3 linked regions of the Styela clava genome follow. The protein of the gene in region 1 interacts with the protein of each later gene in a pairwise test. Links are inferred from orthologs where the notes say so. Each region holds a gene or a part of one and is shown on either strand. Other genes may lie near its edges. The genes, in order: RAB6-interacting golgin-like, RING finger and CHY zinc finger domain-containing protein 1-like and N-terminal kinase-like protein.

What was found.
Region 2: the proteins of RAB6-interacting golgin-like (region 1) and RING finger and CHY zinc finger domain-containing protein 1-like interact in a two-hybrid assay, tested with the Homo sapiens proteins (3 studies listed by BioGRID and IntAct). The link is inferred for Styela clava from reciprocal best matches to the Homo sapiens genes GORAB and RCHY1.
Region 3: the proteins of RAB6-interacting golgin-like (region 1) and N-terminal kinase-like protein interact in a two-hybrid assay, tested with the Homo sapiens proteins (2 studies listed by BioGRID and IntAct). The link is inferred for Styela clava from reciprocal best matches to the Homo sapiens genes GORAB and SCYL1.

The regions. Positions count from the first base shown.
Region 1 is NC_135254.1:14,352,455-14,360,495, reverse strand, and holds the start of RAB6-interacting golgin-like, read left to right. Parts: upstream 1-4,512; 5' UTR 4,513-4,655; intron 4,656-4,684; exon of another isoform or gene 4,685-4,826; 5' UTR 4,827-4,856; coding exon 4,857-5,178; intron 5,179-5,252; coding exon 5,253-5,331; intron 5,332-5,532; coding exon 5,533-5,634; intron 5,635-6,639; coding exon 6,640-6,780; intron 6,781-7,625; coding exon 7,626-7,752; intron 7,753-8,041. Other genes in the region: uncharacterized protein LOC120344284, read right to left, coding at 969-1,400, 1,477-1,533, 1,608-1,933, 2,333-2,525.
Region 2 is NC_135257.1:10,033,171-10,041,549, reverse strand, and holds the start of RING finger and CHY zinc finger domain-containing protein 1-like, read right to left. Parts: upstream 3,182-8,379; 5' UTR 3,134-3,181; coding exon 2,922-3,133; intron 2,663-2,921; coding exon 2,477-2,662; intron 2,099-2,476; coding exon 1,994-2,098; intron 1,267-1,993; coding exon 972-1,266; 3' UTR 1-971. UniProt on the Homo sapiens protein: E3 ubiquitin-protein ligase that mediates ubiquitination of target proteins, including p53/TP53, TP73, HDAC1 and CDKN1B. Mediates ubiquitination and degradation of p53/TP53; preferentially acts on tetrameric p53/TP53.
Region 3 is NC_135252.1:12,119,029-12,127,946, forward strand, and holds the start of N-terminal kinase-like protein, read right to left. Parts: upstream 3,711-8,918; 5' UTR 3,623-3,710; coding exon 3,509-3,622; intron 3,120-3,508; coding exon 2,986-3,119; intron 2,871-2,985; coding exon 2,741-2,870; intron 2,244-2,740; coding exon 2,147-2,243; intron 1,812-2,146; coding exon 1,679-1,811; intron 1,198-1,678; coding exon 1,107-1,197; intron 743-1,106; coding exon 587-742; intron 1-586. UniProt on the Homo sapiens protein: Regulates COPI-mediated retrograde protein traffic at the interface between the Golgi apparatus and the endoplasmic reticulum. Involved in the maintenance of the Golgi apparatus morphology.

The sequences.
Region 1 (8,041 bases):
TAATGTATTATTTCATGTCAAACATGTTTTAATATTTTTTCCTAACACCTGCAACTATCGTTTCTGCAATCACAGACTCTCTAATAAAATGTTATTTCCAAGAAAAAAAAAAAAAAAAGTTTGCATGGACCGAGAATCTGGAAAACGCCTAATAGCATGATGGGCGTTTTTATGATTATTTGTCTAATTCTTTAATTATTTTTGTTTTCCATATTAAATGATAATATCGGTTAAATTTATAATATATATGGTATAACTACTGAAAAAAAATGTATGCACAATGGTCACTGGATTACATTTCATGAATGTGGACACAATTCAAATTGGATATTTGAACTAATATGGGTAAATGTATCTGGATTATTTGATATTTGTGATCATTTATCTATCATGTATTGTATACATAACACCTAAATTATTTGGAAATTGGGATTCATGCAATTAAATTGACATAATAATATATTTGGATAAACCAAAACTATCATTTTCATAAATCCGATTTGGCTATGGATTTAAATTTGGCAAAAAAAAAAAAAAAGCCTTTACCAGATTTCAGTTTTTTGCTAACGCTGTAATAAACTTACTAGTTTGGGCTTGTTTACAGCCCTCTCAATAGCGTAACGGCTAACCCATGGATATAAAAAATGAGCATGTAAATGACTAAACGATACCAAATTGTCACCAAATGGAACAAGTTTGTCCTGCAGTCAAAGTCTACCCTGTTCGTCTCTATTCATGTTGAATGTTGCATAACTTCTACATATTTACTTAGTGTAAAAGTATTACGGACCTAATAACAAAAAATTTGTTATTCAAACTCTCATCCAATATTTCCATAAATGGTGATTGCTTTCCCACAAACCAACCACACTTTCTTCAAACTAAATAGACAAATGTGAAAGCACTTGGCAAAGTAAATATAATCACAGTGAAACAATAAAATCCGAAGTAAATGTAAACAATAAATGTCATGAAAATTCACTTTGTAACAAATCAAATAAATTAGAATATGATTCATTATCAACGTCATAGTTTTGATCAATGGATGATTGATTAAAATTTTCAACAAAATTTTTCACTTCCCCGGAGGGCAACAGTTCTGGAAAACAGTACTCTGGTAAAAAATAATCATAACGAAGCCTTTTTGGCCCAAAAGAGTCAGTGCGTGGAATATTATGTAATCTTGTCCGTGGATTACGAAAAACTGCTGTGTCTGTGCGAACTAATCCACAATCATCCGGATATAATTTGACTTCACTTTCTGGAATGAATAATTTGGCACATTCAACTGATGAAGCAGCAGCATCTGTAAAACTTGCACCAGTGGTTGAGGTAGACATGGAAGACACTCCGGAGTCTGATGACAGATCGTCGTTGGAACAATTCCGGCAGCGTGTAGGCTAGAACAAGAGTTATATTTTAAATATAATAAAAATAAAAAAAATGTTATGCGGTAGTTTTCGATCTGGTACCCACCTCTGGAGAAGCAGGTGTTGCAAAAAGATTGAGAAGTGATGCAGGCTGTTGCGGAACCTAAAAATGAAGAGATTATTATTAGAATATGGGAACACGATTGGACATCCCACAAAATAGACATTTTTACTTACAATATTAGGTTTGGAGCATTTACAAAGCGGGGTTTCTAGTGTCTGGACAGTTTCTTCGTCTTCAGTGAATGAGGCCTCATTTGACCGTAACTGCTGCAAATGTGCTCTAACACAAGCACATCTTTTTAGGAAATACTGTATCCATCCTGACGTTGCATTATACAAAGTCAGTGGCAAACCCGCTTTTAAACACAGTTCCACAGCCTTATTACTAAGTATAGCAGCATTGACTCTACTTCCAGAGCATACAAGCTTCTGGTGATATTTAGCCACTTCATAATCAATATCAATATAACCAGTTGGTCTAAAACCAATCCCACTTAAACCTGTTATGCATAGAGAAACAGAACAAAATATACAATTTAGGACGATAGGAGAAAGTAAATAATTTTAAAAAATATGGCAATTGCATTTAGAACAATTTGATTAAACCACTGTCTGACGGTTCGTATATTATGTCTTGGAATTATCATTGCAAAAAGCATGCAATAGGATTAAGGATGAAAGAGCAAATGATAAGAGAACATATCACGACAGAAGTCCTATTTCATGAATGAAGTCATATATGCCAGCATTAGAATTCAAAATATTACATAAGCAGTATTGCTGGAAGATTGGAAATACTGCTGTACTGAACCAGTCAACAAAACAGCAAGATCAGACAATAATACATTAATAAAATATTCAAATATCAAAAATGTAATAAAATTCGACCCATTCTTTACCGAAATATTTTTTATCTTCTTCTCGTATAACAATCATCTTTTCGGGATTCAGGTTTTCCCATGTGGCGCCCTTACACGGAACCACTATGCGCTTCTTACGCTTTTTAGTATTCTGCACTTTCGCTTGCCTGCGGTTTCGGCAGTTTAATTGAGACCGCTGAGGCCCTAACTTCACCAACTTTGTTCTAGACATAACAGATATATAGATATACACTCGCCTCAAACTTTTCTAATGAAATATTTACAATTCCTAAATCCAGAATACAGTCGCCACGAGGACACCTCAAAGAAGGGCGTCGAAACAACAGAATGTCGTTTATCGCCGTTGTAAAATAACCAATGCTGATTGGTTGGTTTGCTGGTTCACGTGACGACGACCTTTTTTCCTGTCTAGTTCCTGACGTAATAAAGAAAGATAAAGAACGACGCGCGAAAGAAAAAATCCATATCGCTGTGACGTATTTGAGCTTTTGCGTCTCGAGCCTCTGGGCACACGAGGTGTAAACTTTTATCTCCCCGCGGCGTGTTATCTCTTACCTAGACTGGATCATGCTAGTCACTAAACAAATCGAATATTTTTTTGCCCACAGTTGCCGTTCATTGATGAAATCCACTGCTGAATAGCGATATCAGAGTTGGCGAACCCAATGTACTTACAACGTGGTGATCGCACTCTGCGGCACATGGCAAGGTGTTTTTCATAAATCTCACATTTTTACATTAGTGAGGGGCCTGGATTTCATAATCATTGTTTAATTATTTTTATTAATTATTTCAACGTCTGTGCTGATTATAGAGTCGAAATAAAACCAATATATAGTTAAGAGTAATATTTTGAATATCATTGGTCTGAATATGTAATCAGCGCAAGATGCTCGCTTGCAATTAGGGCTGGGCATTTTCGAAACACTGGTGTTTCGAAATCGAAACGAAATTTTGCCTTCGAAACGAAACGAAACACACGTTTGTTATAAACAGTGAAATATGATACCATTATTACCCATGGAATTTAATGTATAATGACATCTATTTTCCACAATTAAATCCACAAAAGGATATCACTGGATGCTAATTCGAAAGATAAAACGATAATGATAATTCCACGAATGTTTCTGCTCAATGACAAAGCAGCGGCCAGATCAAAACGTGGACGGCGGCGCTTGGACGTTTGCGCGATATTTAATATTCTTATAAACACTGAAAACGATATTTGAGAGTCACGATATTCGAATAAATTCGGATATTAAATTCGAATTGGTCACTAATTACAGGTTGCATTTGCTATGACGTCATAATATCCGTTTCGAAGGTCGAAACGCCGCCGTTTCGACATATCAGTGTTTCGAAACGTTTCGAAACATTGTTTCGAAACGCCCAGCCCTACTTGCAATACAGCAATACTAAAGTATGTTAATATTTCTTCCTTTAATACACCAGATCGAGCAGAATGTTCTTCGTGTTTCAACTGTGATGGTGCATGCCCATTGGCCCAAAACATTGAATAATTCAAAAACAGTTCTTGCTAGTTTAGCAATGTTATTTGAGTGCTTTGTTTGGCAAATAATGCTCAAGAAGCAACATGTATACGTGAATGAAGGCCAATGTTTGCACAATGCGTTATAGAGGGCTGGAAAAATTAATAAAATGATCATAAATTAAAAGAATCTAGATCTATGTTTCTAGTCTAGTCCTGATTAAGGTTTATATATAAAAAAAATCAAATTTGATTCGTTCATTGGTTTTACCAACTAGTATAATGAAATTCCCTCCATGGTTCAACTCCGTGTAACTGAAAAAGTTATCAGGTTACAGTAGTTTCATTCCACAAAGACTCAGAAATCACGGAATCATGTGAACTAAATATATACTAGCAAGTGCATTTAAATGTGATTCTTGGGCTGAATTCCTAGTACTGGAAAGGAATTTGCAGCTGCTCATGTTATCTTATGTGGGTCTCATGTAGTTTCGTACCTAACGTACTTCTAGTAGGCAGTAGCATAACAATTTTTTCATGTGTCAATCCTAACCCCCACCTGACCACACCATCCCAAAATTACGTCACTACGACATCACAGTGACGTAATAGAGCCCTTCAAACTATGCGAACTGTCATCCAAGACGCGCAGACGAGAACCCGAAATCGAACAGCCATTTCTCTCGTTTTCTCGTCGCAACGATCCCGATAGGAGAGAGATCGCTGACGTCAGTCAGTTCTTAATATCGGCGGCGCCGATGCCATTTCGGGCGATCGTAGGAGTATTTGGCAAGCTCTATGACGTAATTGTGACTACATAGTGACGTAATTTTTGGATGGCGTAGTCAGGTGAGGGTTAGGATTGGCATGTCAAAAAATTGTTGTGCTACGCCTACTAGAAGTACGTTGGGTACGAAACTACACGAGACCCCAACTTTTTTACTTACAAGTTAGAAACACACATTAGGAAGGATATGAATGAATATCGCTAACAGTAAATATCCAAAATAAACTTTGCAGGAAGTTTTCTAAAGAACATAAAATCTAAAAATGAGTGACTGGGTGGGATTTACTGACGCTGATTTACGAAGAATGAAAAGCGATGGAAATCGCTCAGCTGGTGCCAAAGTTGCTAAACCCTTAACTGGCGGTGCCAAAGCGAAACAAGGATCTATCTTGGGCCAAAAGGTTCAAAAAAGGCAAAGCTCTAAAACTACTCCTCGAGTCCAAAAGGAACATGGTGATGTACCCTCGGAAGCAATGCTATCACAAGCTGCTAATGAAGAATCCTCCAAGAAAAACCTACCATCAAAAGTCACAACTCCTACTGATAATACACCATTACATGGGAAGACATGCACTCCACCAATAGGTATTTTCTCTTGAGGTTTGATGAATTTTATTACTGTTAGTTGTCTCTCTGACCAAATGTTCCTATTAATTTAGAATCTACAGATAAAAGTGCTAATGACACAGTTGAAAGCGAAGAGCCTGAAATTTTAGAAGATGCTGAAGTCATCAAAGAGTAAGCATATTATAGCCTATTTTCATGTGACCTGACATACCTAACCTAAAATTTTGTTTTTAATCAATTTGGGCAAGATGTGGTTTACAGTTTGCTTCTTGCTCACATTTACTGAATGCAATATCCTTGGTTTGTAACAACAATTATCTGATTAGCCATGGATTATATTTTATTATAATTTTTTTTATTCATACCTTCCAGAAAAGAGAAAATCAAACTTGAAGACATCCAACAGAGACAAAAACAAATGGAGGAGAAAAATAAAAGGAAGAAGACAATGCTAACGAAAGCAATTGCAGAGAGGTTCGTATATATATTGATGTAAATGTCTGTATATAATATGCATATATTATTCTTCATAGCTCTTAATATACATAAATATGTTTCATTGAAATGCTTCAAATCTTTGAACCCATACAAATTCCTTAATTAACACCATCAGGCATCAGCCTAACTATTTTGGTGTAGTTGGTTTAAGATCTTCAGTTTAACCCCATGTCCTGAATGTAATGAAAGACTTTCTAAGAAATAGATGTTCGACTGCTTCTCAGTGCCGCCTCAAAGGTCTGAAACCTCCTCATAAAAAAACTGTAATAAGTGGCTATTTTAACTTTAGGTATATACGTATATAGTATTTATAAATGGTCTCACCTAGCGCCATGGTTTCTACCTGCCAATTGGTTGTCTATTATATATAATGAATTAGAACCAAAAAAAAAAAAGATAATGATTCTATCCATATCATTGTCTGAAGCAGTGGTTCTCAAACGGTGGGGCGCACCCTCACAAGGGGGGCGTAGACAGTTTTTTGAGGTGGCGTGGAGCTAATTAAAAATTAAACTATTTGTTAGATTTGATCTTGCCCGCCTTGTTTTGAATAGGCTATTTACATTTCTTTACTTTGGATATTTATGTCCCATCCACATATTATTAATATGTTTTTTGAATGAAACATCATTTCGCCTCAACTATCTGTTATTTTAGAGGTGGGGCGCGAGACTTGAGAAATTCTCAAAAGGGGGCGCGTCCCAAAAAGTTTGAGAATCACTGGTCTAAAATGATCGTTGTTTCAGAAGTGGCAACTGCATGATATCATCAGCATATGTAACCAGCTTATATCAAACTGGTTTTTGTAACAACTTCATTACATTTCTTCTCATAGCTTAATACATGTTCAAATTTTTTTCAACTTGAAATGGAATAGATTTTAGAATTAAGACTGGTATTAGATTACATTATCATTTGCAAGATTTTTGCTAATCCTTATTTGATAAAACTTTGATACATCAAGTCATTTTAATTTTACAGAAAAAAGAGAGCGTTTGCAGAATCAACAAAACTTGTCAAAATACAAGCCGAACTTACAAAGCTTGATGGCATGTTGAATTATGATGTTTCACTTCTTAGAGATAGAATTGATGAAGCTTGCGTAGATTATAATCATGCACAGTAAGTTATGGTATTATATTTTTAATTATACATGATAATGTATGTTAATTTAGGGTGAACTGTAAAGTTTCTTTCGACCTCATTTACACTTCCTATGTTTCCAGACATCCTTTTGTTGCTTCTACTCTACTATTTCTGATATGTCATGCAAGTTGTAATTGCTTCAAATGTCCTGTAGTATATTTGGTAATATTCTACTAACAAAGGCGGGCAAAATCTCGAGGTTATTTTCATCCTCACAGTTGCTGCCACTTGATAATCTCTAACAATATGTAAAGGAGATAGCGATCAGAGACCGCTGACTTATCGATCCAGCGGCGTGTGCCCTGCGCTCTGACTCAATAGCGTGGAAACTTTTTTGATGGAAACTTGCGCATCGCACACACACTCAGCACATGCACACTCTTGCTTCAAAAATCTAGGTCATTCACGTTCTCTCGCTTTTCAAAAATCTAGATCTCTTCATCACTAATTAATTAATGACTCTCTTGTTATACGACATAATCCAAAATCAATAGGCTTCTGGTTTGTGATATGATGAATGAACATGCAAAATTTGGAGCAGATTCAACCTCGCTTGCGTGAGATATCGCATGTATCTAACAGACAAATACCTATTAACATACTTACCGATCAAGATCGATAAGTAATAAAGTCATCATTGTCTTTATGACAAGTCCATCATAAACAGTGCACATATAATTCCTCCTAATCACTTCCTGCTTCTTGATGAATGGACATAAGGGTTGTCACAAACTATGTTCAAGTTTAATTTTTAAGGATTCCTGTGTTACCAAACAGCTGATTGGCGTTTTTAAATATAAGTTATAACTGTATATTTTCAGAAAACGCTTTGATAAAGCAGAAGCGGAATACATAAGTGCAAAAATGAATCTTCACAAGGCAACACAAATGAAAGAAGAATTGACAGAACATCTATTCCATTTAATACAATTAAATGAGGAAAGGAAGGTAAGGCTGAACTATGCTTCAATATATGATAGATTGATTATGATTTGACCAAAGGATAGGAGAAATGATTTGACCACCCCGGGAGAATAGAAAGCTGATAATACTGCTCAATCATAAGACGAAACACGGCTTCTCCCGTTACTAGTCCATGTAAGGTTTGGGGATAAAAAATCATTTATTATTTTAAGATGCATGGACTTGAGTAGTAAGCCGTAACCAGCCAGAAGTTACGTGAACCACCTGACCATGGCTGGGAGTCCAGCGATCCTCTTGCGCATAATTATATCCA
Region 2 (8,379 bases), on another chromosome or scaffold:
AATTTATATAGTTAAAGGTTCAACCCCCTTTCCTACCACCTTACCCAGGTTGAATGAATTAGGTGAACAATTCTTTCCATGAATAGTAGCTCCATACACATCAGTGGCGGTTTGTCTAGAGCAGGGCTGCACAACTCAAATGAGGATACGTGCCAAATTTTTCAAAATAATCTTGTCGCGTACCACGCACAATTGTGGTATTGTAAATTAACTCCTGCAAAACAAACAAATTTCAATAATAATACATAATAACGGATATCTATTTATTGAAACAATTTAATGTCCTGAAAAACTGCTGATTTTGATATAAACGTGATATTTTAATGTGTATCATAAATATTTTTTTTTCACAAAACTGTTCGCGTGCCACGTTTGAGCGTATGGCGTGCCAAATTTGGCACGCGTACCGCGTGTTGTGCACCCCTGGTCTAGAGCACCGGTTCTCAACGAGTGGGTCATGGCACACTACTAGGCCACAGAAACATTTCCAGGTGGGCCAAAACCTACTGTAAATTGCACAAGAGTTATTGATAAATTTATTTACATTTGTGTCACTATAAATAAATTTTGATTGCAGTAGCAATAAAAGATGCTTCTGTTGTTTGCTGTGGAGTGGTAATTTTCATTCTAATCATCAATAAAGTGAAAGTGTCTTTATTGTGGGAAGATTTTTTTTTTTTGTAGTTTTATCCTGGCATTGAAAAGTTAATGGGCCATGAAATCTTTGTTCAACAAAAATGGGCTACGACAGAAAAAAGGTTGAGAACCACTGGTTTGGAGGTTTATTCAAAGTGAAAACACCTCTTCAATAATTTGAAATTCGTAATTGACGTTGAAATATCTCAATATCAACTGTGTGTGACTAAAAATCATAAATACCAAGCGATAAACATGGAATATTATATCCTTGATAAAAATAAGTAAAACCTGCCAGACAAAAATTAGTACAACTGAAAGGAGTAAACAGTTTGTCAAGTGTGAGGTTCCTCAGTCTCAAGAAGTTTGGATTGAGGTTGCCCTGTTCCACATGTATTGTATGATTTACATTTAGAACATTTCAATCCCAGAACATGAAATCGGACATTAGACACTCCCTGACAGTCCTTACAAAGAATCCATATCAATGTGTTAGCATATTCGTCTGGCATAGGTGTCACAGCAATCTCTTCATCAAGATTTTCCCAAACTTTTGACATTTCCAAAGTCGATTTGCCACATGACGGACATCGATATTCATTGTGTTGAAGCATTACAGAATAGCATTTTCTGGAAGATAAAGGCTTAATTACTTGAAGGGTGTTGTCATGAAGCTATTTCAATATTCATATTAAACAAATAAGGGAATTGAAAGATTGACTTGAACAAATCACCGAATTCTTATGATTGCGAAGTCACTCAATCATAAAATGTTAAAATTTCAAATTCATTAACTTGATGATAAATGATGATATAAAGAAGTGTTGTGCAGATGCAGATGGCCAACAAGTACACATAAAAAACTTTCTATCAAAAAAACTATGAGAACATTCTTTAGCATATGTTAACCAGAACCAAGACAAATAACAATCTTTGGAGTAGAGATAATTTAAAACAAAACTAGTTAAAATCATTGTTACAACTCTTTGAAGAACGACTAGTGACCACCTATATATTTTCCCCTATAAATTAGGGATCCACAAGCTTAAACCACAATCAAACCACAACTAAATTTCACAACTATTCCTTTGATTAACCAAGTTTAGAATCAGAATTCTTTTGATATACCACTATGACTATTTAGTCAAATTTTCTTGTCTGAAAAGTCTTACACACAGCCAAAAGAAAAGTTACACAATATGCAGCAAGACTATCGAGTGATTTCAAGTTTAAATAGCCTTGTAAAAAAGTGACAAAACCTTCGTGAAAAAATTTAAATTCATTCATATCACACAATTGCACCAGTGTGGCATGGTATCATGTTGGTAGATGGGAAAACATTAATGAAAAAACTCACTGGTGAATAAGATGGCCACACGAGGGAACCTTTAATGACTCCGTGGATGTGTGCATATCTTCTAAACACACTGGACAATTGGATTTCGATGATTTTTCCACACATCTTAATAAAAAGTAACAAGCTTGCCACAAGCTCTCAACACAATGTGTATCAATAAAGAACAAAAATTTTAAATATCGTTTTCCATTAATATTTAACCCCTAAGCCAAGGGTAATAAAATATTGCATATTTTAAACCTTCTAAATCAATGCTCAAAGGCTGAATATAATAAATTGTAAATACCAAAAATCAACCTTATTAAATGCCATTGACAAATTATAAATTAAAATGGGAAACAGCAGAGTGTGAATTTGGCATTTTTATTTTGTACATGCATGAATCTGATTGAGAGAACAATTGTTGAGATTGAGGAATTGTTGAAATTGACATAAAAATACAAAACAACGAAAAGAGCATAAATTAATTTGAAAAATACATACTTATGAGAATCCTTGATATCAATACTTAAACATAGATCACATTTCGCGCAGTGAAAAAAATTTGCACGTCCCCCTACTCGACACAAACCACAATCATCACAATGATATTGCTTACGATCTCTGTCATCAAACATGTTACATATAGAACAGTGATATTTTCCAAAATTTGTACTGCAAACTTTGCATCTGAAATATTTTTTAAATTTTTAAACATAATTAGGTCACAAAGCTTGGTTTATAATTTTAATGCCTTTTTAAGAGCTCTTAGCTCAAGGTTCTATTAGATTAAGGAAAATATCAATAAAAAAAGTTTTTTTGAAACTATGTTAGAAAAATGGCCAGTACAAAGAATATATATACAAATTTAAAAAAAAAGCGATCAACTATTTTAACGAGAAGCCAAGAAGCTTGTTATCAAGGTTTTATCATTAAATTTGAAACTGACTCTGGAGAAACTTCTTGAACAGTGCTACAATTGTTGCATTTGATATGCTTCACAAGGTAGCGATTCAGTTTGTGATTACACTTCTCATCATGGCATAGGCGGCAAGGATAAAATTTCCAGCATGTAGAGCACTCTAACAGACATCTTCTTATGTAGTGTGTGCAAATTTCACTCTCTGTCTCTGTGTGAGAATTATTACCTATATCTGACATTTTGAGTTTGTAATTATATTTAACTTATCTGCAACACACATAAATATAAACAATACTGATTAACTGTTCACATTGTAACAAGAACAATAGCAATAGGGACTGGGATATTAATGAATACCAGAATAAATCTTCATATTTAACAACTGACTTACTAATCCCAGAATCCCATACACGGCTTGGAATTGTTAAGTCGTCTTAGGATAGGATTTGCATATTTTGAATTATATTTATAATATTATTTATCGCGGGGGAGAGGAAAGTTGACAAGACAGCGCAATCATATGGCGAACCACAGCTATAACGACTTTCCTTTCATCCGAGGTAAATATGTAAATCTGTATGTAGGTCAGGGTTGTCCAGAACGAATCGAATATTCTAAATTATTCGAATATCAAGGTATTCGAATACCTTTTCGGCTCATTTCCGAATAATTACGAATAGTAGTCACTTTTCCCCGTAAACACGGTGTTTCGTTTTACCGGAATCTTCAAACGACTTTTTACGCTTTCTCACGTATTGTAATGACGATGAAATAGAGTCGGCATTTTGATTGTTTATATTCAGCGCGAATGTACGTCGCATAGTGTTGCGACACATTTGCACGTTTGCGTTGGTGGACATTGCCGACATTCGTCTTTTAATTCACAAAATCATTTCCATTAGTCGAAAAATCGACAATCACCGTATTTCCCGGCTAATAAGTCGCTTTTCTAGACCCAATTTTGGCTTGATTTTTGGGGGAGGGGCGCCTTATTGAGAAAGCATGTTTATTTCATTTCTATGTGGCCTGCTTATTTTTCGCATTAGTCTTCTCAAGCATAATTTGTGTTGAACCTTATATTTGGTTCTTATGGGTCTGCCAATCATGATATTTAATCGTAGGCCGGTTATCGTTACTTAAAAGAGAAAACACGGCCACCGCCACCGAGATAAAGTAAGTGATTTATGACCCTTTGGTTTTGCCGATTCAGCAGAAAACAACAGGGACATGAAACACAGCTGTGAAATAACCCGTGGACGTACCGTGTGGTACTTATCACATTCCAAAATTATTTCAACATTCGGGTTGATAGGTTGTCCAAAATGATTGCCGCTTTATAATTTAAATTTACCGCTTCGTTGTTGAGAATAGTTAATTCCGTGAGTATGGTTCTACCAAACAAACATGATCTGGTTCTGTTCTGACCCTATAAAATTATAGATTGTTCAAAATGATTTTGATTTTTAACTTAAAATTACCGCTTTATTGTTAAAAATAGTTAATTCTGTGAGTATGATTCTACTAAACAAACGTGATCTGGTTCTAAACATTATTATTAGCGCATATTAGCATAACTGAACAACAGGGAATAATTTTTCTACCCGTCTTCTTGGAGGCCTATATGGAAAACCCCCTTTTTTGAGTGCTAAAAATATACATTGTCCTATTTGCCATGTAGACTTATTAGCCGGGAAATACGGTATTTATAGCCGCAATTGTTACGATACCCAATAAATTGTCACAAGTTGGGAAACAAGTTGATTTATTAGAAAAATACTTTCACCCGCTTTCTGGAAAATAATTTTGATAATGATGGTCAAAAGTATCGATAATGAAATGAATGTATGTATGTATGTATGAATGAAATGAATGTATGAATGAAAGTATTAATACCAAATACCACGGGTATTTGTGGGCATGAAATGTGTGGTAAACTGCCCAATTATAATTAATTTCGGATTCGTATTTACAAAATATTAAAACTATTATAACTCAAAAATACAACGGCGATTTGTGGACTTGAATGTGTAATAAAGTACAAATTATTTTTCCGAATTGTGACAATTTTTTCGAGTACGAAAATAGAATCAAAAATTAATTATATTCGGGCACAATATCACGGCATTCTGTGGACATAAATTGTGAGGCAAACTCGCGATTGATATTAATTTTTGATTCCTATTTTGGTATTTACAAAAACAACGGTGATCTGTGGACATTGAATGTGTGGTAAACTACCCGATTATAAATAGTTTTTGAACCCTATTTTCGTATTTATAAAATAATAAAAGTATTATTACACAAACATACAACGGCGATCTGCGGACTTAAAATGTGTGGTAAAGTTCCCGAATATATTTACTTTTTGATTCGTATTTTTGTACTCACGAAAAAATTGTCTCAAGTCTGAAAAAGAACTCATACTTTATCCCGCTTTTTGACAAATAATTTGGATAATGGTTGGTATTTAAAAGTATGGGCGTTTTACTAGGATGATTTTGTGTTGCGCAAGCATTCAAATCCATCACCGATACCACTATTTAAAATGCCTTGTCGTATTATTTTAATTCTGTTAATTAACACAACTCATGTTATATAAAATATATATCGCAATAATCTGCAAACATGAAATGCCTGGTAATATAGCCAGGTTGTAGATAGAAGTTATTCCATTGTTTATTGTATGAAAATTCCTTCATACACTTAGATTCTATTACTGGATTTTATTTTCGAAGTATTCGAAATTTCATATTCGAAAATAATAATTTCGAATGTATTCGAAATAGTGAACTATTCGGTATTGGCCATCCCTGATGTAGGTACTTCCAAACATCGAAGTAAATTTTTTCGCGATATCGCACACTTTGGGAATCACTGACCTAGGCCCTCTCATCGTATAAATCGGCCGTGAGCCTGTGACTGCAACTAATCCTCCCCGAACACAAAATTACTTCGGCCTTCTCAATTTTAAGACAGCACGGTACAGCAGTAACTGGATAAGGTTTTCATCAGTATTTATCCAGTCCAATTTTAATATTCCAAGTTATATTGTCCATTTCGAATTGTACGGTATTCCATGTTGTGATCTGCAGAGTAGGCCTACCATTTGAAGATATTCATTTTAGTTTATGGATTAGGCATATAGGCAGTTCTTCATTATATTGCAGAATGGACAGATGGACCAATGCCCATCATTGTTATAAATAAATCTCTCCCTGCCCCCCATTCCCGACATGAACTGACAACCGGACGAGAGCCGGGGTTCGCCATATGACCCCGGCTCAAATATTGAAATATGAAAATCCCAAGATGTTAACTACGTAAAATATTGTAATATATATTCTGAAATCGGAAAATATTTTACATGCGACGACCTATAAATAACAGACGCAATAAGGTCGTTTATTAGTTCAAGGGTTGGGGTTTCGGGGCCAATTTTTGAAATCCCCGTACCGGGATATCCCGGGATTGAGCTGTATAATCCCGGGACTTTTCGGGATTAAGTAAAAGATTGAAACAACTTGCATGACAATAAAATCACGTAATTATTTCATGTAATAAAGACACAGAAATATTAGAGCATCTAGGACAGTGGTTCCTAACCTTTTTTTTATATCGCGGCACACTATTTAGCTCTTTAAATATTCGCGGCACACCTATCACAAAACACGATCATTTTCTACTCATAAAGAGTGCGATAGTCGAACGCGATCATGGGGGTCTCGTGTAGTTTCGTACCGGTACCTAACGTAGCATAACAATTTTTTGATATGTCAATCCTAACCCCCATCTGATTACGCCATCAAAAAATTAAATCACTACGACATCACAATCACGTCATAGAGCTTGCCAAATATACGCACGATCGATCGAAATGGCATTGGCGCCTACGATAAAGAACTGGCTGACGTTATCGGTCTCTCTCCTATTGGAATCGTTCCGACGACAACTGTTTTCTTACGTTAATGTAAACAAGAGCGTCTTCGGAGCACCTCACATTATTTTAAAAGTTGTGCAGCCGCGAAGTGGACATAACGATCGTTTCAATATTATGTTGTTGTTGTTGTTGTTGTTCTTGTTCTTGTTCTTTGACACGTTTTTAAAAAGTCGCTTTACTCTTCGAATACTGGACCAATTGCTTTGAAATTTTCAGTGGTTGAAGATAAAATTTTTCCCCAGAAGGCTATTACTTTTATTTATTTTAAAATTTCCTGTGGACTTCGAGAGATTCGTTTTTTGTGTTCAAAGAAGTGATCAGAATAAAAAATAGTGACACCTTGTGGCGATTGCGCGAAGGCATATCAACTGAGAAGCGATCGTAATTCTTGCTCCGCTAAGAGTTGTTTATGATGGGATGTTTGGGGTTACCGGTACCCGCAATGCAGCAATGCAACGGTTTGCGATTTCAATAAACTCGAAAGGTTTTTGAGGTTAAGTTAAACTACCGGTACTGTTTCGCGCGGTGTTCAATCAATCAATGTTCACTTTCCATATATTTCAATATTTGTAGACTGTGGTTCCCGTGTTAAGCGAAAGTGATACTGGTACGATACGGTAGCTGGGAAAGCTATGACAGTCCCTGTGGCCTGTACGGCACGTACCGGTACCGTTTACAGGTTTACGTACCGTCTTACCGGTACCGTAGTCCGTTACGGTACGTACCGGTACAGCTGTACAGGTACGATATCGGTAGACTAGTACAGTATTACTGTACTAGTTGCATTAATTATATTTGTTTAGAGTGTGTGCCTGCATTGGAATTAAGTTTTTGTAATGAGCCAGCATGTCTGCACAGCTGCTATGCCTTTCTAATTTTTGGCTGTTTCGTTACATTTTTTTGGAAACAACATTTGCATAAATACGTATGATACCGTATGCAGAGGAAGAAACTTCACAAAAATTTCAACATGTGCAGCAGGTTAGTGTACATAAATCAGTAAATACAGAAATAAGCAGAGGAAGAGACTTTACAAAAAGGATAAGATTTACATTATTATCCCGATGGAGAGGAAAGCCTATAGAACGGCTTAACCATATTGCGAACCACTGCCTCTTGTCTGGTTACCGGTAAGGTACCATTCCAAGTCTGGTACCGGTATGGCTGTATGGGGGAAGCATTACAATCTTTCCAATAGTGTTCAACATGTTATGAAATATGGTGGTTGCGGTTTCATCAATGCAAAAAATATTTGCCGGTTTAACAGCATGATGCAGTTATTGCAAATAGTTTTCGTGTCCATATATTTGAGCTTTGCTCTCTTGTTGTTGTTGTTGTTCTTTGACACTTTTTGGACATCTAGTGCAAAATCTAAAAAACCGCTTTTCTCTTTCATTACTGGACCGATTGCTTCGAAATTTTCACTGGTTAAAGATGAAATTTTTCTCCAGAAGACTATTACTTTTATTTATTTCAAATATTTCTGTGAGATTTGTTTTTGTTTGCTATGACGTCACCGAACGTTCTGCGGACGCATAGCCGACACTC
Region 3 (8,918 bases), on another chromosome or scaffold:
AATAAAAATCCCAAATACATATATATTTTTGCAGAGGAAAATGAACTTGATGAAAATAAAATGATGACGTATATATTTTTATATAAAATGAAAATAAAAAACTTGTGTAGTGAATCAAAAAAGTCAGGTATTCACACTTCAAAATCTACAAATAAATTTTAGTTTAAACAAATTACAAATTCTATAAAATCAGTATTCCATTTCCAAACACACATTTTATGTGAAATCAAATTTGTAAAATGTATTATCTTTAGCGATATATGCAAATTTTATGTTTGCAAGATAAAGATAATACATTTTACAAATTTGATTTCACATAATATGTGTGTTTGGAATACTGATTTTATAGAATTTGTAATTCGAGATAAAGATTTACAACATAATTCCGACAAATTAAATTTTGCACATATCTTAAATTTGCAAAATATATCTATGTAAAGTAGGTCAAAAGTAATAGCAACAAAGAATTCTTTACTTCAGGCAGAAATAATTCATACATAGATATGTTTAGACAAGAATGAATTTATTCCAATTCCCTAATGAAAAAGATAATAATGTTGGAGAGAAATATTATTATAAATTCTACCTGGATTTCTTCAAGGAATAAATTTGTGTCAACAAAATAATTGTTCATGAAACATTGCTGAGTTCTGCAATTTTCAATAAATCGATCAGGACTCGGTCGCGAAGCAGGATTAGCACCAACGAGTTCACAATAATGTGCAACGAGGCTTTTCGGTATCTGAAATGAAAGACAAGCATGAAGCCAGCAGATGAAAACTAGGTGAAAAATCAAGTAATACGTAACAACATATTTACCCCACAAACTAATTTCACTCCAGAAGGAACCCAGCGGTCCCCAAACTTCTCAAAAGGTAAAATGAATTTATTGATTCATATACACAACATTTAAAATAAGAAAAAACAAAACATTTATAATAAATACAATATGTAATATTTTCAATCATATTTTAGTTATGTTTAACACAATTCTGTTAATTTCCTAGGTGCACTTAGCAACTCGCCACGGCGCACCCTTCTGGATCCGCTGTCATAACCAATAGTTCCAAACATTTCAGTAATAGATATGAAAGCAAGACACTAACCTTCCCAACAACTTTGAGTGAAGAAGTTCTGGGTAATGGTCCATTAAAAACTTCCCATATTAAACAGCCTAAACCCCACATGTCAGAAGACCTGTAAGATTAAAAGTTAAAAATTACAGAATGAATCATTTTTTATTAAATGTTGAAGTGCACAATATCTCTTGCTAATTAGTACTTGAACTACAGATTTCTAACTTTCAAACAAATAAGCAAGTCAGGACTTTAATTAGACTTGTTTTATGTAAATGATTTATATCCACGAGTAAAACTCGTGATAAATTATATGTCAAACACAAATAATGGTAAATTCAACCCAAAAAGGTTACAATCTTATAAGCAAATTGTTTGCAACATTTTTTATGATAGGTATTCCAAATCCATAATGTAGGATTTATTATAATTGAGTTATTGAAAGCCTAATAATATATTTTGAAATTACTTCGAACAAGAATATTATTTTGAGACTTACGAAAACTTAAAAAAACACACACATTTATTGCATGATCAAAGACTATGGCCTGATGTTACAATCCAAATTTTAAGATTCCAGTTCATTGAACTGCGAAACTTACCACTTAGATGATTTTTTGTTACGATTTCTTGCAGATTTTTCAGGGGGATCATATTTTTCTAGCATAGGTAAGGTTTTGAAAGGCGGAAGATTGCTGCCTTCGCCTGAGGCTGGATACATGTAGTCTACTCCACCTGAAATTCATATAACAATGACATAGAAGTAATTCATTCACTGCTTTAAACGTATCTGAGTATGAATATATGAACAGAAAACACAAGTATAATTGCATGAGAGTGAGACAATACTTATTATTACACAAACTATAATATTCCTATTCCACAAAAATAAAAGTTTTTAAAAACTTCATCTGACATGATAAGTTTCGGCTGCCAGTAGGGAAAAGTATTGCACGTCATCTTAAATTGATTATTCAGAAATAAAAAGTTTATTTAAAATAAATCATGACTAAAAATTTTGAAAAAATCCTAATTGAAAATAACCTTCACACTAACAATCCATTCCTCACCTAACTTCCACTCTCCACTTTGATCAACAAATATGGAAGACATGCAGACATTGTTGTGTATAAGATTTACAGTGTTTACCAGAAAACTGAGACCTTTCTGTAGAACAATTTGGAAAACAGTTAATTAATCAATCATAATTATTTAACTATTTCTTTTCGGTATTTCATACAGGATACATAATTAAAAGTGACTAAGAGTCAGTACGAGGTTACCCAAAAACATAACCCAGATCATTGGGAAGATATTTTTAGAAAAAAGAATACTTTTGTGCAAAGTGTCCCAGATCACTGAAACAAACAGAAGTTCAAGTGTTGAAGTTTAAATTAAATTTTTTTATTTTTATTGAAGAAATTAAAAAATATATCGGGTTCTGTTTTTTTTTCAGGGTCAACCTGTACTATACTCTCTCGAAAGGAGTTTTAGTGGTCATGAAATATGGTCCTCTTGAAAAATGCTGTAATAAACGATTCATTTTTTTGTAACAAACTTCATTATTTTCCAAAAAATTGATTACTACAGTAGTCATACAGACATGCATCTGTGTTTTCTTCCCAATTCATAATCAAACCATCATAAACAAATACCGTACTTACAGAAATCTGGTGAAGACCCCAAGATATTGCAAGATCACGAGTGGCATTTTTAGTTTCCATTGTCTTCAAATGTTGTAACAAAGGTACCACAGGTTCGGTAACAATATAAATGCATTTTGGGGCTTCAAGGCTGAAAAGAATAAAAAATATATAAATAAATTTCATTTCATGGTTGAAAGCCAACGAACCTTGAAAGAACATTTCTATATTGTACAAAAATCGGATAAAGAAAATAAGAGTAATACCTGTCGATAAATGTAAGAACATTAGGATGTCGAAGAGTCTTCAATCGTTTTATTGATGATGAAGCAACCTGTCTCACTGCATCATTGCTTTCTGCTACATCAAAAGCAAATATAGAAACAGATTCTCCGTTTGCCTGAAACAAAATATCAACAAAACAGATCTTTAAAATTCAAAATCTTTTTTTAACATTGAATGTTAAGAACTCATCATTAAACTACCGGTACATGAAGAAAATCTTTTTGACTTTCAAACATTTATAAACTTTTAAATGAAATATTTCGTGAATATGGCTTCAAACTCTGATTGGAAAATCAGCTCAAAAAGCAGCTTTTTTTGGAATTGTTGATGAGAATTTTTTCAAAATTTTAACTTCTCCCCTTTGTTTTAAAACCCTCGATTTGGAAGTACTAATCTCAATGTAGCAAAACATAATAGAAAACAAGTATAACTAATGAAAAAGGGAAATTTTCAAGCATTATACTATTTTTATGCACAAGAAAATTAGCAAAACAATAGCTATACCTTACGAGTTCCCTTATGCAATGTCCATATACTTTGATCATCAAGTCCAGAGATTTTTTCCCCAACTTCAAATGCGAAGTCTTTAGTGGGATCTCTCGAAAATATCGACCACATATTTCAAAATTTAATAACAATCAACTTTGCATCAAAATAGTTACTAGAAGACTAATTGCAAGCAAATTAAGCCGCTCTAAAAACTGAAAAAAATGAATAAATAAAGGGCTATAGGGTAATAACTGAATAAAGTTAAAAAAAAAAAAGCTTTAGATAAATTTTATAGTAAACGAACAAAAAATAAATAAGTAAAAAAGAAATTAGAATAAAAATAAGAATTGTAATTAGAGATAAGAATTGTTTGCCACACCATTTTTATAATTTCATAAAAATTCCCAAATTGAGTACGGTACCGTAAAAGCGCCTAACTTCGGACAGTTCCTAACTTCGGACAAAATTTTTGAACGGCCATATCTTGGCTAAAACGCGCCGTATATTGCTAATTTTAATTATTATAGGTTGCGCTGTTATATCTACATCTATTCTCATCTTTTTTAATGTTGCATAATTATTTTTTTGGTAAAAAAACGGAAATTTTGCCGAAAATTGACTGCCCGGCATTCAACGGTGCAGAGCGTCGCTCCTACTGAAGCCATCATCGTTAAAATACCATCATTCGGTAGAGGGCGACAACAATGTATATAATTTATTTGAGTGATCGCAAGATGTCGTACGAGATTTAAATTAAATCTAAAATTCTGAATTATAAATTCCGTAAGAATATTAAGATTTCACGCAGCGTCAAAAATTACGTCAACCTCACGTAGATTATTTTTCGCTCACTTCGACACGACGTCACACTGCGTCGCGGAAATGAATTTTGACGCCAGACACAACGGAGCCAATATGACAATTTCCGTTAAGATAAAGACGGCGTTTCAATCTAATATTTTTGTATTTTGTTCGGTCATGTATGAATATATGCCAAAATTACATTAATGAAAATACATATCACACTTAATCGATGACGTTAAATATCGAATATATAATGAACTATGATAATTCCAACGTCCATATGGCACAGTGCACTGACTTAACCATTATTTTATGATTAGTAGTCGAAATGACAGTTATTGAATACGGCCTGGGTGAATTTTATTCACTCGAAATTAAAAATAAATTTAATCTCCAACAAATAAACGGGACCTACATGTTTACAAGATTAAGTTGAATTTTAAATTAAACTTTACAATCGGATTTACCGTGTGTTTGATATAAATTATCATTTATAAAGATAACCGCGCAGAATAAAAAAAAGCTATCCGTCGAGAATATTAATACTTCAAAGACTTCGATAGAAGCCCGTTAAAATACTTCATTGTGGTTTGAAACGGTTTGCATCAGATATATTTACGTATGCATTTCCTGATTAAAATGACTAACGTGTTATTATACTCATCTGAAGTATCGAAAATAACGAACGAAAGATGTAAACATAGGACGACGGAAGTTTCAAATAATGCATTTTCGTCGTGACGTCAATGTTACGTTACGACGACGATCGAGCGTCTTATCTTCACGCAACGACGTGATTACGGCATCCGCATCGGAAGCCTCTTTCTCTCTGTGCGTCGCGGTTACGCAGTGAAGAAAATGACTGTCCGAAGTTAGGGCAGTGAAGGATAACGGTCAGATGGCAAGAAATATCGATTATTTCAATAGTAAAAATAGTCCAATTGAACCGAAATTTGCAGGGAATGTAAATTACCGCGCGAATGTTTTACCGAGCAATTTTGGCACCGTTTGGACAATAAATGGCCGAGTTATTGACGAAAATATAGTAATTTTGTCCGAAGTTAGGCGCTTTTACGGTACCGTACGGTACGGATTATGTCAACAAGAGTGAACAGTATTTAATATGGAGACAAAAAAAAAAGACTTTGCCAAGCTGATTATAGTTGGAGTCAGATGCAAAGCAGGCAACCACTGACCCGCTTTCCCCCAATCCAGCTCCAGAGCTCTAAGAAACTGTGATACTCAAGGTTCTGGCTTCAACGGTACCGTACAGTAAAGGTACCGGTACCGCAGTAGTACAGACGAGAGCCCAAAAATCATTACACCGTTGTAGCATCTTACTAAATCACTATTGCGTGAAATACTTCCGAGATACCAACCAATTAAAATAAAAATTTATTATGACGACTGGATGGACCTTTCCCCGAGCATCGACTTCCTTGTTTACTTCGTGACATTGGCCAATGAGCAAGATGCAAAAGGTGACGTACTATGCTCCCTTTTCGCATCCGCTCAGACACTTTTCTCACTCAGACAGATTTTCAAGCGTGGTCGTAAACATTACCTCATTTTCGCGTTTTTGAACTCTATTCGTTAGTTTTCACAATGACATTAAACAACATGATGCGCAACTCCGGCATTTTTGTCCGAAGATCGTATTGGATAGCACGCTCCAATGCACATACTTGACGAGACGAAAACGAGCGGATGTGTGCTGCTTTCAAGGCGTAGCACGAATGGCGTTCGTGCCTGCTTCGACAGTTGTTGTCGATTTTAATGATATTTTGGAAAGTTAAGGTAAAAAGAAATCGGAAAAAGGCAAGGTAAATACTATTGTGGTATATCACACCCGGGCATCGCACTGTTAAGTACATGTGGGAAAGACAGCCTTTGTCAAAGACTACGAAGTTATTAATTCAGTACGGTACGTAGTTGCCCATTTGCCGAAATTACATATTTACTTACTCCTTATGGTTTCAAATAGTTCCTGCACCTCCGGTTAGATTCTTTTAATCAGTGAGGATATTTACTCATTGCTGATTGCTGCTCATTGTAATATACTATTGTGCATTCACTTATATTTGCGTATTGAATCAAAGTGTTAACAAGTTCACCTAACATTTCACTCATACCGGTCTATCTTGTATAGTCTGATCTCTCAAGTATTTGGAGCCGCGAATGCTTGTAATTTTCTGACTAAACCCTTTTATTAGTTGGTTTATATACCAAATTCAGTAAAATATGAGATATTGGATTTATTAGCTTTTCCATTCTAAACCATATAGACTGCTTTATTTATTCTTAACGAAAATTAATAAATCTCCTCTCTTTCTTCACATGTGAAAGTTGTGGACAAACCTGTCTAAGCATTGTGAGACTCCTGCAGCACAAGAGGTAATAGCAGAAATAGTAAGTATATCAATCAAGAAATTAAGCCGACATGAAGCAAAACTTTCAACTATTCGTCTAATCTTAATTTCCTATTATTTATTCACAGGACAACTATAGCAGAAGGGGAGATATCAGAAGTCTGGCGACATATCAGTGACAGTGTGATTCCAAGAAATATAATTAGAGTACTCCATAAATGTTTGCAATAGAAAAACAACCTATGGAGGCATGCAAAGACATTTGACCCTCCGGTAGAGTTGTGTATGGCCCCCACATCCTGCAGGGCTTGAGGAAAAAAACTAAAACTTCCCAGCGTAAGATTGCATAAGCGGTCTTATTTGTAATAAGGCACAAAACACGCCAGACATACTTAAAACAGCTTTGGAAAATGAGGATTACGGGTAACTCACTGCACCTGTGTTATATTTGGTTCATCAACTTTTGTTAGTACTATAGAAAAAATTACGGAAGGCGTATAAGCATCATTCATGATAAAATACTATCATATATTTTTTGGACAACTTCAATCTAGACCAGGGATCTTAAACTCGCGTCCCCAGAGAACTTCCAGTGCGGCCCTCGAACGCTTAACAATAATTGTAATAGTATTTTGGAAGTTTTTTTTTTATCTAAATGTAATAGATTTTTCAAACCTTTTAAAGTGAGATTGATTATCCACACAGAAAACAATTTACTGAAAGTAGTTTTGAAATATTAATTTTTTTTGTCCACATTTTGACCCAATTAAGAATACACATCAAGCTAGCAAGAGAATACTTGAATAAAACACTTGAGTGATTAAATCAAACGCAAAGTACATGAAGAAAGTGGCATTTTCGAAGAAAATGGGAGTTGCAATATTTCTGCTTTCCACAAAATTTTGAAGCACATTGTTTAATTTGTCATATTTCCACTAATACAATGAAAAAACACAATAAGCTCAGCAGTCAATATGACAAATTCGAAGACCAACTTCGAACAGAAAATTTCCATGTGTTTGTATATTAATATAATTATACAACGACTTGGTTACTAAAAATCTATATCAATAATAATTCAAGCAATCCTATGCCACGCAATGTGGTGCGAAATGTCTTGTCGAAAAAATCTGTCATTTTTTTTTACTGATCTATACATGAAATGATAAAAGTAACTTTTTTTGCATTACTGGAATTAATTAAACATTTGCAAAGATCCAGATTAACCCATGATCATGTGGCCTCGTTATTTAGAGTTGGTACTATAAAATCATTTCAGCCTGGCCTTAGTATGCTGGTGACATTTTATGATTTTTTATAATAATTACAGTAACTTGCAAATGTTGCAATAATAGTGGAATGCAAATATCAATATGTAATTGCATTTGAAATTGAAGAAAATAATAAAACTTAATCCAACTGTTTAGTTGCATCACAATATATGTCACAAACTAAAACTATCTTAAAAATATCTTTCAAGTATACATTATCAAAAACTGTTTGCGGCCCTTTTTACAATTTCCAAATCGCAATGCGGCTCTCGAAAACCCATGAGTTTGAACCACTGATCTATTCTAGACGATTCAAGCATTGCTTTGGGAAATAATATCACTTCAATTAAATTGAAATAATCATAATCTTGCTATATTAAATACAAAATCGTTGCTATCATAAAGGTAAACCAATTCAGCCACTCGAAATATATTGGCCTTCACAAAGCAATGGAGGCAAAATTGAGAGTTCATGAGCTATGAACATTTGTTCCTTTCTTTGTCTTGAACTTTTCATACTCCACAGCCCCTATTAATTTTTTATAATTTTAATTACCATGTGATGGTCATACATATCTTTAACTTGTATTTTCTGTCATGATGTATTATCTCAATGTGCCAAACTATTAATTAGTGTGCATATTTTGCTTCCAGATGACATAAATGTATTGTCTTGTTTATTACCTCAGCTTGGAGTATTGACAAGAAAAAGGTGCCAGCAAATTAGGTAAAATTTTTTTTAACTCTTTGTTATAATCAGAATTCACAATCAATAGGAATTATAAACAGCCAACAATCAATAAGAATTTTATGCGAAATGCCTCAGAATAAATTTGTCCAAAATCGGAGAAAGGCAAAAATTATAGGTAGTTTCCACTTTCCATCCACACAAGCATTTCAAGAAGACTTGCTCGAGCCAAACTAAATGAGCATCGTCAGGTGATCGGTAAGGCTGCAAGTTGAATTCAGCCCTGCAACCTC